Ovis aries: one gene and its partner. The protein of the gene in region 1 purifies or fractionates together with the protein of each later gene. This does not show direct contact. Links are inferred from orthologs where the notes say so. Each region holds a gene or a part of one and is shown on either strand. Other genes may lie near its edges.

Region 1 (4,653 bases):
CATTACTTTGTTTTAATAACCATAGGAAGCCAAGTGTTTCTGTCCCATATTCCAGATAAGAAAATTGACATCAAGAAAGGTTACTAGGCTTGTTAGTAAATGACAGAGTCAGGGATGGAACCCAACTCTTCAAATGATCGCAACCCCCATTTTTGGGCCTCATTCTTTAGCTGAAATGCTCTGTTGTTAGGGTCCTGAAATTCTTAACAATTTTTTCTTTTAACTTAACTTTGTAAGTTAAGTGCCATGGGGCAATGGAGCAGAAGCAGATGGGCAGTGTGCATGCCTGCAGTTCTCTCCCACCCCGAGAGAGCATGTGCAATGCCCTGGTGGGTCAGATAGTAAAGAATCCACCTGCATGCAATGCGATGGAGAATCCCACGGACAGAGAAGCCTGGTGGCCTCAGTCCATAGGGTCCCACAAAGAATCGGTCACGACTAAATCAGCTTTAGCACACATGCATGAGTACAAAACTCCAGCAGCTCACAAGTGGGAGTACTGCAAGGCTCAAAGTGTAGGTGCTACATCTATAACTGATCAAGCAAGGGCCCCCAAGAGGCCATGCCTCCCATTCAAACCAGAGCTTTGTCCAAGTACAACACAAGAAATAACTGAGAAGCCATATCAGCTCTTTCCTCACCATTGTTACTTTCCTGTGTTAGCCATCCACTCAAGGCTGAAAATGCTGACACAGAAGGAAAGGGTAACCTCGACTTCTCCCTTTCATTGCCTCCTTACTCATCAGTAAGGTAGGGAACGTCAGCAGAATGTGCACAAACAAGAAGAGAAATGAAAACAGTTGAGTGAATTCTGTGCAGTGTCCCTGCTATTCTGGTGGACACAAAATACGTGTCCGAGCTAACAGACACGAATTGTGTGCTTCTAGGAATACTGCATTTGAGTTTAAAAGTTCTTGCTTTATCTGAAGTGAAGTGAAGCGAGGTTGCTCAGTCGTGTCCGACTCTTTGCGACTCCATGGTGTGTCCATGGAATTTTCCAGGTAAGAATGCTGGAGTGGGTTGCCATTCCCTTCTCCAGGGGATCTTCTCAACCCAAGAATCGAACCTGGGTCTCCTGCACTGCAGACGGATTCTTTACCATCTGAGCCACCAGGAAGTCCTGCTTGCGTTTAAAGCCGGCATCACAATATTAAGAGGAACCATAAAATTCACACTAATAATTTTAAAATGTCAACTTAGCATTGAATAGTAATTTTTTTTTAAAGTCAAAAAGAGGGACCATGGTCGAGAGGAAAACTTGGCATTTTTTCCTGCATTTCGAATGAGGGACTCCACAAATTACGTAGCTGGTGCTGTTGCTGAGTAGTGACATTAAATGAGGGAACGACCTCAAATGTTTTGGAAATAGATCTAGGAGGTCCTTATTCCCCTAAGATTGAAAACAACTCACTCCTTTGGGGTTTTATCTTTTTTATTTCTCTCACTTCCCACAACCAGTTTTTTAAAAAAAGAAACAACGCAGGTACAAGGATCCAATTTTTTAAAATCAGAGTACAAAGAGGACCACAGCCCTGCCCAGATTTAACTTACGTATTTACATATTTGGAGAGGTGTGTGGTGTGGGTGTGGCTGCAGAAGCACGTTTAAAAGGCTGCATTACAAAATATACAAAGGTGGTCTTTCTTAGTAGAACCTGGCCTGGTTTCCAAATGAGAGCGCTACATAACACAAATCACAGTACTACTTACTATATAACTTACAAAAAATGCTGTACAGTTGCAGGAGTATAAATATAGAGTATAAATGGCTCTGTTTGGGAATCTGTATCTACACAGGGAAGGTCAGGGGAAGGCTCAGTTTGGTATCCCAACCTGCTAAAGTGATTGAGAAGCTAGAATGGGGAAGAACAGGGTCTGGGAGCACGGCTGCATTGATCCCCTTTCCCAGGCTTGATTGAAGCTCACTCACTCTCCAGGGAGAACTAGGTTTGTTGAGGGTAAGAAGCAAAGGCAAGAGGTGCAAATAATAATACAACGGGGGCTCTCAAAGGCACAGAGAAGGCTTCTGGGCCAAGAAGGAGCACTTCTTGGATCCACAGACATGCACGCACCCCACTGCCACTTGAAGATCATGGTTCTGTGGGCAGTCCAGCCATGCCCTGGTTTCTACCCTCAGTGAAAAATTTGAAGCTTTGCAGACGTGGAGAGAGGGCAGATGAGCAAAGTTCATTTATGGATGGGACTATGAGACAATGTCTGGAAAGAGGTTCTGGCTTTGAGGGAAGGAGGGGTGGGTGCAAATATGGGCGGAATCTGACCCAGATAGTCATTTTGTACAAGGAGCCAAGGGGCACAGAGAGCTGTAGAGCTGTCCTACGCTCAGGTGCTTTATGTTTCAGGGGGCAGAATGGAGGGGACTCAGAACCGGCCGGCATATCTTACTCCAGAAGACTCAGCAGGGGTGATTTTTATCAGCACTAGGCTTTAGCCAGAACATATGCTGGGTTAGCTGGGTTAAGAAGCACCCAAGGCTCTTGTGGCAGAGATGAACCATCTCCCTCAAATGTTCCCCAATTCCCAGCACTCATCCTCCACCTGCCAGCTCAGGGACAGCACTGATCTTTTACGAAAACCCTGCCAGGGGATGTGAGGAGCACTAAGAAGGGGAAAAGGCCACACCGATGGTCTTCTCCAAGTCCCAGACAGTTACACCATTTCCCGTGAATTGGGCTGCCCTTGGACTGTATGGGAGCAGCTGCTCTTGACTGAAGCAGGTCTTTGATAAAAGAGAGATGCCTGAGCTGGATCATAATAAAGAAAAGTGTACATGAATACGCACCTCTGAGAACCTTCCTTAAATTCCTCCCTTGGGGCTTTTCCTTTGGAAGAGGATGGTCAGGGGGTAAAAAGCCCTATTGACCAACCCAGCTGTGTGCTGGGGAAATTGCGATCATCTCTCCGGCCAGGTTTCACTAATTCTCTTTCAGTGTCGTTTTGTGCCTTCCCGAGCCTCGAAGGCCCAGGGAGCGTGGGGCTGGGATGGAACTACTGTGTGGGCTTGATACACTGGGCCAAGGGAATGAGAGCTGGGATGGATGTCATTTCTCAATGGGGAAGGAATTCCCCTGAAATGGAGGAAGAACCAAGAGGGAGCCAGAGCGTGTGGACTATGGGGCCCTCCCCCCCGTCTCCAGGCAGCCCCTACCTACAAGGCTGTGATGCTGGAAACGATTTTGGTGCCTGAGGCCTCCACTTCACACTTAGTGGCCCCACCCTGGGCCTCTTTGTCCATGGCCAAGTTGTCGAATGCCTCAGGGGGCTTGACCGGCTCGTCCTTCACCTCCTCCAGGTCTTCGCAGCACTTGCTGCTACGGCAGCACCTGGAGCAGCCGCACAGCCCGCAGCAGACGCGGCAGCAGACGCGGCAGCAGCAGCAGCAGCGCCTCTGGAAGCAGCTGGTGAGGGAGGTGATGAGCTTGTCCCAGGGCTCCAGGGAGCGCATCCACAAGGGCAGGAAGTCCCAGCTTCGGAGCTTCTGGGGCAAGGAGCCAGGGCAGCAGGACTGCAGGATCTTGAGGACCACCACCAGTAAGATCACAAGGACGATGGGCGACGCCACGCCCACCAGCACCGGCCAGCCAAGCAGGGAGAGGCCGAACACCCCCAGAGGGATCAGGAGGAAGAAGATGATCAAGTAGACGATGGCGAACCAGCGGTACTTAGCTGAGACGCTGCCCAGCCCTTTGGCCAGGCGGATAGGCAGGCGAGTGAATGGGATTGGGTACCACAGGATGATGCCTGAGATGTTGAAGAAAAAGTGGCACAGGGCGATCTGAAAAGCAAGGGGTTGGAGAGGTGAATGGGTCTGCCTCACAGAGAGAAGAGGGCGTCATCTAGAAGTGGAGTCATGGGTCTTCCTCACCTTCGTAGCTCAGCCCAGAGTGGGAGGGATTACATTAGCTGAGGGCCTAATGTGTGTCGCTGGGGGGCGGGGGGTGGGGGGTGGGCGGGGGGGGGGGGGGGGGGGGGGAGGGGGGGGAGCCGGCCAGGTGGGGAGAGGGGAAGGCAAGGGAAGTGACCACCTGAATCACAGTTTAGTTTTCAGGGCCTGAAGTTTCCGTTAGGCAAAATCTAACAGTGAACTTTGAGAAATTGAGGCACTATGAGGTTAAGCTATTTTCCTCAAATCATACAGATGGGAGATGGGATTCAAACCCAGATAGCCTGGCTCCAGAGGCCATATACTTTGTACTTTCTTATATGTTCCACCAGGAACTGTGCATGATGTTAGGGGCTTTGGACCAGCCCTATCCAATGCATTAGTCACTATCCACTGCGATGTGGCCTAAATGTAAAATACTCGCTGGATTTCCAAGATTTAGTCCAAAACAATTGTAAATGACTTTCCACATGCTATGGAGCAACTAAGCAAGCTTGTGCACAACAATTACTGAGGCCGCACTCCACAACAAGGGAAGCTACCACAATGAGAAGCCCACTCAAGGCAACAAAGTGAGCTCCCACTCACTGCAACTAGATAAAGCCCATGTGCAGTAACAAAGACCCAGTGCAGCCAAAAGCAAATTAATAAATGGATTAATAAATTAATTTTTAATAAAGGAATATAAAATCTCATTAACATTAATTACATGTTGAAATGATAATGGTTCAATCAAACACATTATTAAAATTA
Region 2 (5,120 bases), on another chromosome or scaffold:
GACTAACTGAAGGGGACGGCTTGGAAGTTCACCCACATCCCAACAGGCAACCTACACATAATCCCACCCTGAACACGTCTCTTGGGTTAGGTTGGAACAGGCAGACACCCCCACCAAAGGCCAAAATATAATTGACAGTGAACAGAAAACCATAGTATAGACAAAATATTCCAGCTTTCTCTATTATAAAAAAAATCAAATTCACTGGGGCCGGGCACTCATTATTTTTTTTTTCTATAACTCCCCAGGATTGTCAAAAGTAATCTTGTAGCCAACCCGCTTGCAGACAGTAAAGATGACCTGAAATAGACCACCCATGGTGCCAAAAGCCGTGTCAAAGAGCAGAGAGAGGATGCCACCAAGGCCCATGGCAATGTCCCTGCAGACAATCGGAACTGCGCCTATGGTGTACACGGGGAACGTGGCCACGTCCACAAGCACCCGGACAGGGACACCCACGACGCGGCAGACCACCTTCAGCAGGCAACAAAGGATCCGGAGCACGGCCCTGGTGATCCTGACCGTGACTTTGAGGACCTTCCAGGGAATGCTGCCCAGTTCCTCCCCGATGGTCAAGAAGTAGGTGATGGTGGCTGACCCCAGGCGATAAAGGCAACTTTCTAGACCGTTAATCACCTGCTTGGTGACATACCAGAGGAAATACACAGTGTACTTCAGGATCCCAAAGGCAAGGTAATAAATTAACTGGCAGAGCTTGATCAACGGGGTAACGACAAAGCCCAGGAGTCTTCCCAGAAGACTACTCCCTTCCCCAGATGTCTCCGGAGGAGGCAGGGCAGACCTGGTTCCCCTCACGCTGGAGAGCATCTCGGAGCCGCCCTCAGAGTCCAGCCTCCGCTCCTCGTCCTGGACTTGGTTAACCACCTCCAGGATTTTTTTCATCTTCTCTGTGTCTTGGTCAGTTTCCCCACAGTTGTTCTGGAACAGCTGAAGGTGGAATGGAAGCAGCTTCTCCAGGTCCCTCAGCATCACATCCTCGATGACCTCCCGGTCACGGGTGTGCTTGACAAAGCCCATGGCCCAGCCTCCAGCAGGGACCGCGCAGCAGGCCGCCAGCCAAACAAACTCCGGGACGCTCACTCTGTCGCTGACCCTGAGGTCCGAGGGCACGGCACCTGTGATGATGTAGAGCTCGTCCCCACTGCCACACTGTGGGGTCAGAGCTCGCTCCATCAGGCTGTTGAGATTCATGTACCACCTTTCCTGGAAGGACGGGGTCATCGGAGCTGCGTTTGTGAGAGTGAAGGTGGCCGAGTGGGGGTCAGTGCTGAGAGAGAACGGGTAGAGCTGCCCGGTCCGGTAATCAGAACCCAGGAAATCTGCATTCAAGGCTTGGTTGCTTCCCAGCTTGCTCACAGACCTGACGGCCTCGGCCTCATCCGTCACCTCCTCCAGGCTGCTATTGGGGTCATCAATCTGAAAGGAGAGAGCGAGGTTGAGATGCGTCCCTGTTCACAGCAGACTGGGGGTCCTCGGACCATTCTGCCCAGACTCTAGTGAAGTCCCTACTATACAGACACTTCCAACGCTTTGGTCTGGAAGTACACACACACTTCGTCCTAATACCCCACAACCCTAGTGTCTGAAAGCATCTTTCAAGTTGGCTATATCCTCTTCCACTCTCTGTGTCTATTCCACTCTTGACCTACAGTAATGACCTATCCCACACTCACACAAATACACCATCAGAACACCAGTTTTCAATCTGCTGCGGTTTTATAAACGTCATGCCCTTTTCCGGGAATGTTTTTCCATGAGATTCAAACTGACTGCAAAAACGAAAGCAAGGGGAAAAGTAAATCTCAGCAGGCCTGTAAAAATCAGAACTTGAATTCAGATAATCAGCCACCAATGTGAGCTGCAATTTAAAGAACGTAGTCTTAAGTGAATTTTGCATATTTGGGGATATACAAAGAGCAATCAACTCTAATCAGAGAATTTAAATCAAATAGAGGGACATGTATAGATTATTGTCAGTTATATTAGATACTTCCCAGGCCAAGATAGAATTTGACCAGCTGCTCTTCGAACTTCATCTCCTCATAATATTTGCAATTATTAACAATGCATTTTCTGTCTAGGCCTATTGAGCTATTTGCTAAATATCAATAACTATATATATCTCCCTCTTAGTTCTGCTCTATTCATTTTAAATTCAGCAGTATAATATATATGTCACTTTGCCAATCTGAAAAGATGAAAGGAAAGAGCTCAGGACTGACCCCAAACTCTGTTTTTAGCTCCCAAATTAGACTATAAATTTCTTGACACCATGGATCCTGTACAAAGGACCCAGTCAAGGACTGACACATACTAGAATCTCAACTTGTTTTTTAGTCACTAAGTCATGTCCAACTCTTTGTGACTCATGGACTGTAGCCTGCCCAGCTCCTCTGTCCATGGGATTTTCCAGGAAAGAATACTGGAATAAGTTTCCATTTCCTTTTCCAGGGAATCTTCCCAACCCAGGAATCGAACTCATGTGTCCTGCATTGGCAGGGAGATTCGTTACCACTTGAGAATCTCAAGGCACTCTTGTTAATCTGAGATCAGTATTAACTGATCACTGCAGTATTTATAATGGCAGGAAGCTGAACCAACCTACATTTTCAAAAACCGGCAACAGTTAAATAAATGGTGTTATATCCATCAAGGAAATATCTCAAAGCCATTAAAAAGCACTTGTAGTGACAGGGAAATATGTGCTATAATTTTGAAAGGAAAAGGCAGATTATAAAATTAAATGATAACAATTTTTTAAGCCTAAAAATGAGCAAGAAAAAAGTTTGAAACACATGAAAATGTCCATTATGGCTGATCGACTCCTAAGGATACAAGCGATACATTTTTTCCCTTGTTTTCTTGTTTCTCTTGGTTCAGCTCTTACCTACATCAACCCACAGATGATTTATATGTTAGTTTCAAAAGGAAAAAAAGAAATGAATTAAAAGAAGTAAATTCTGACTAATTGATTCCCTAGAGTTGGTGCTACTCGCTAAACCCAAGAGGGCCAAGGCCATGTGGATTGCTGTACCTCACGTGGGAGGGCAACCCACTCTACATTTCTCCAGCTCTGCAACAGCAAAAGTAGGCATGCTCATGCACACACGTGTAGCATTAGTGAGGGCAACGAATGAGCAAGTTGGTGTGAAAGCAGGAATAGTCATGAAAGCTAATGGAGTATTCCATAGCCTCACCTTTCAAGGTCGTTCCATCCCTGCCCCCAGACTCAAATTAGAAATGATCCTGGATGGTCCCCACTCCCACCACACCCCTAGAGGACAGCGATAAGACGCTCACCCATTTTGTAAAGCTGCCCTTGCTCTCCTATAGCCAGAAGATACAACTCATGGAAATATCTGCCTCATTCCTGAATCATGAGATCAAGGTACGGCAGAGCCAAGATTGTAGAGTCTTGGGTGGAAGGCCAGGAATTTTAGGGTGCCTGTTTATTCTCCCTGCTTACTAGGGTACTGTGTCTGCATTTAGCTTGGTGTGGCTTCTTTATCCCATCTAGAGGAAACCTGGAGCTGGGTTTTGGGTTTTTTTTGTTCTTTTTTTTTACTGGTAGCCAGTGACAGAGCATAGGGCAACACACTGGTTCATCTTCTTTCCAAGAGCCACCCAGGGATGAAATAATGCCTGCAAGGACAGAAGGCAGGCTGGAACACAAACAGAGAAAAGAGATTCTTAGATAAAGAAGGGGAAGGAACCAAAAAGGGCCAGGCAGGGAAAGAAAAGGGGAGGGATAAAAGAGAGGGAGGAGAAAAGAAGAGAGTGAGATTGGGTGTGTGTGTGTGCATATGTGTGAGAGACAGCCTACAACATCCTGCTCTTAGAAACCAGAACTGTGGGTTGATTTACTCCCAAACTTCAGAGCGTGGTCTCCCGTGGCTAAGGTCAGAGGAGACTAAGGCAGGGGCTTCCACGTCCTCTCAGGCCACTTGAGTTCAATGGGCTCCAGGTATCTGCCATAATGGAGTCTCTCCTGCCCACAGCTCGCAGGTACATGGGAACCGGCCAGGATGAACCGAGGTGACTGCGGAGGTCGGGACCTAATTCCGCAGTGGGCCCTGTGCACCTCCCTGCCCTGAGCCTCTGCAGGCAAAGCAGAGACTAGACGATGTGGTCCAGATGCACAGGCAGGAGAGAGCACGTCTTCCTTTCCCTTTTCCTGGCCTTCTTCAGAACCTCACATCCATGTATTGTTATGAACCCCAAATTGGCCCTATGGTTTGATGACAGGGTAGAATATAGTGTTGGAAGTGAAGATAGAATGTCTGTATCCGGTACCTATATAGCAATACAGCAGGAGGTCAAGGACTAATTTTTCTTAACTACCAGTTAAATGATTTCAATATAATGTTACAGAAGGTCTTTTTTTTCTACCTGATTCTACAGGTGGGGAAACTAAAACACAGAAAGGTGAATTTTTCCAAAGTCATCCAAAAATTAGCAGGACAGAATTTGAACTGAGGTCAGTCATTTTATTCCTAAGGTACACATTCTTTATGACTAAGCCATGCTTTCCGCATATTAACGGACACTGCTGTACCAGTTTTCTATGCCAGAGAGTAGAAAACCAAACAGAAAAAGAAATCACAGTCTCCTTTTCTCTCTATGACACAGAATAAATGAAATTCCTTAAATGTACAGGGAGAGAAGCCGGTCTGAGCGCCCTGGGGTTGCAATCCCCAGAAAGAAGGGAGAGTGGAAAGGGGAAGGTGAATGGGCACACATGCAGACCAGCCCTCAGGCTTCCTTTCTGCCTTTGCCCAGAGCACACAGAAGCTCAGCCACCAGCTTCACAAGCCAAGGAAGGTGGCAGCTCAGGCAGGAGCAACCAGCCAGAGTAGTTTCCAGCTTGCACTTAGTCGCTCAGTCATGTCCGACTCTTGCGACTCTATACACTGTAGCCTGCCAGGCTCCTCTGTCCATGGGATTCTCCAGGCCAGAATACTGGAGTGGGCTGCCATTTCCTTCTGCAGGGGATCTTCCTGACCCAGGGATCGAACCCACGTCTCTTGCATTGCAGTCAGACTCTTTACCGACTGCGCTATGGAGGAAGCATACTACTACCCTTAAAAAGTGGGCAGCTG

The links.
Region 2: the proteins of SLC34A2 (region 1) and ENDOD1 purify together in Homo sapiens (co-immunoprecipitation; 3 studies listed by BioGRID and IntAct, counting the BioPlex papers as one, with this or other methods). This does not show direct contact. The link is inferred for Ovis aries from reciprocal best matches to the Homo sapiens genes SLC34A2 and ENDOD1.

What each region holds. Positions count from the first base shown.
Region 1 is NC_056059.1:45,770,746-45,775,398, reverse strand, and holds the end of SLC34A2 (sodium-dependent phosphate transport protein 2B), read right to left. Parts: intron 3,793-4,653; coding exon 3,166-3,792; 3' UTR 1,415-3,165; downstream 1-1,414. UniProt on the Homo sapiens protein: Involved in actively transporting phosphate into cells via Na(+) cotransport.
Region 2 is NC_056068.1:14,968,398-14,973,517, forward strand, and holds part of ENDOD1 (endonuclease domain-containing 1 protein), read right to left. Parts: intron 1,438-5,120; coding exon 235-1,437; 3' UTR 1-234. UniProt on the Homo sapiens protein: May act as a DNase and a RNase. Plays a role in the modulation of innate immune signaling through the cGAS-STING pathway by interacting with RNF26.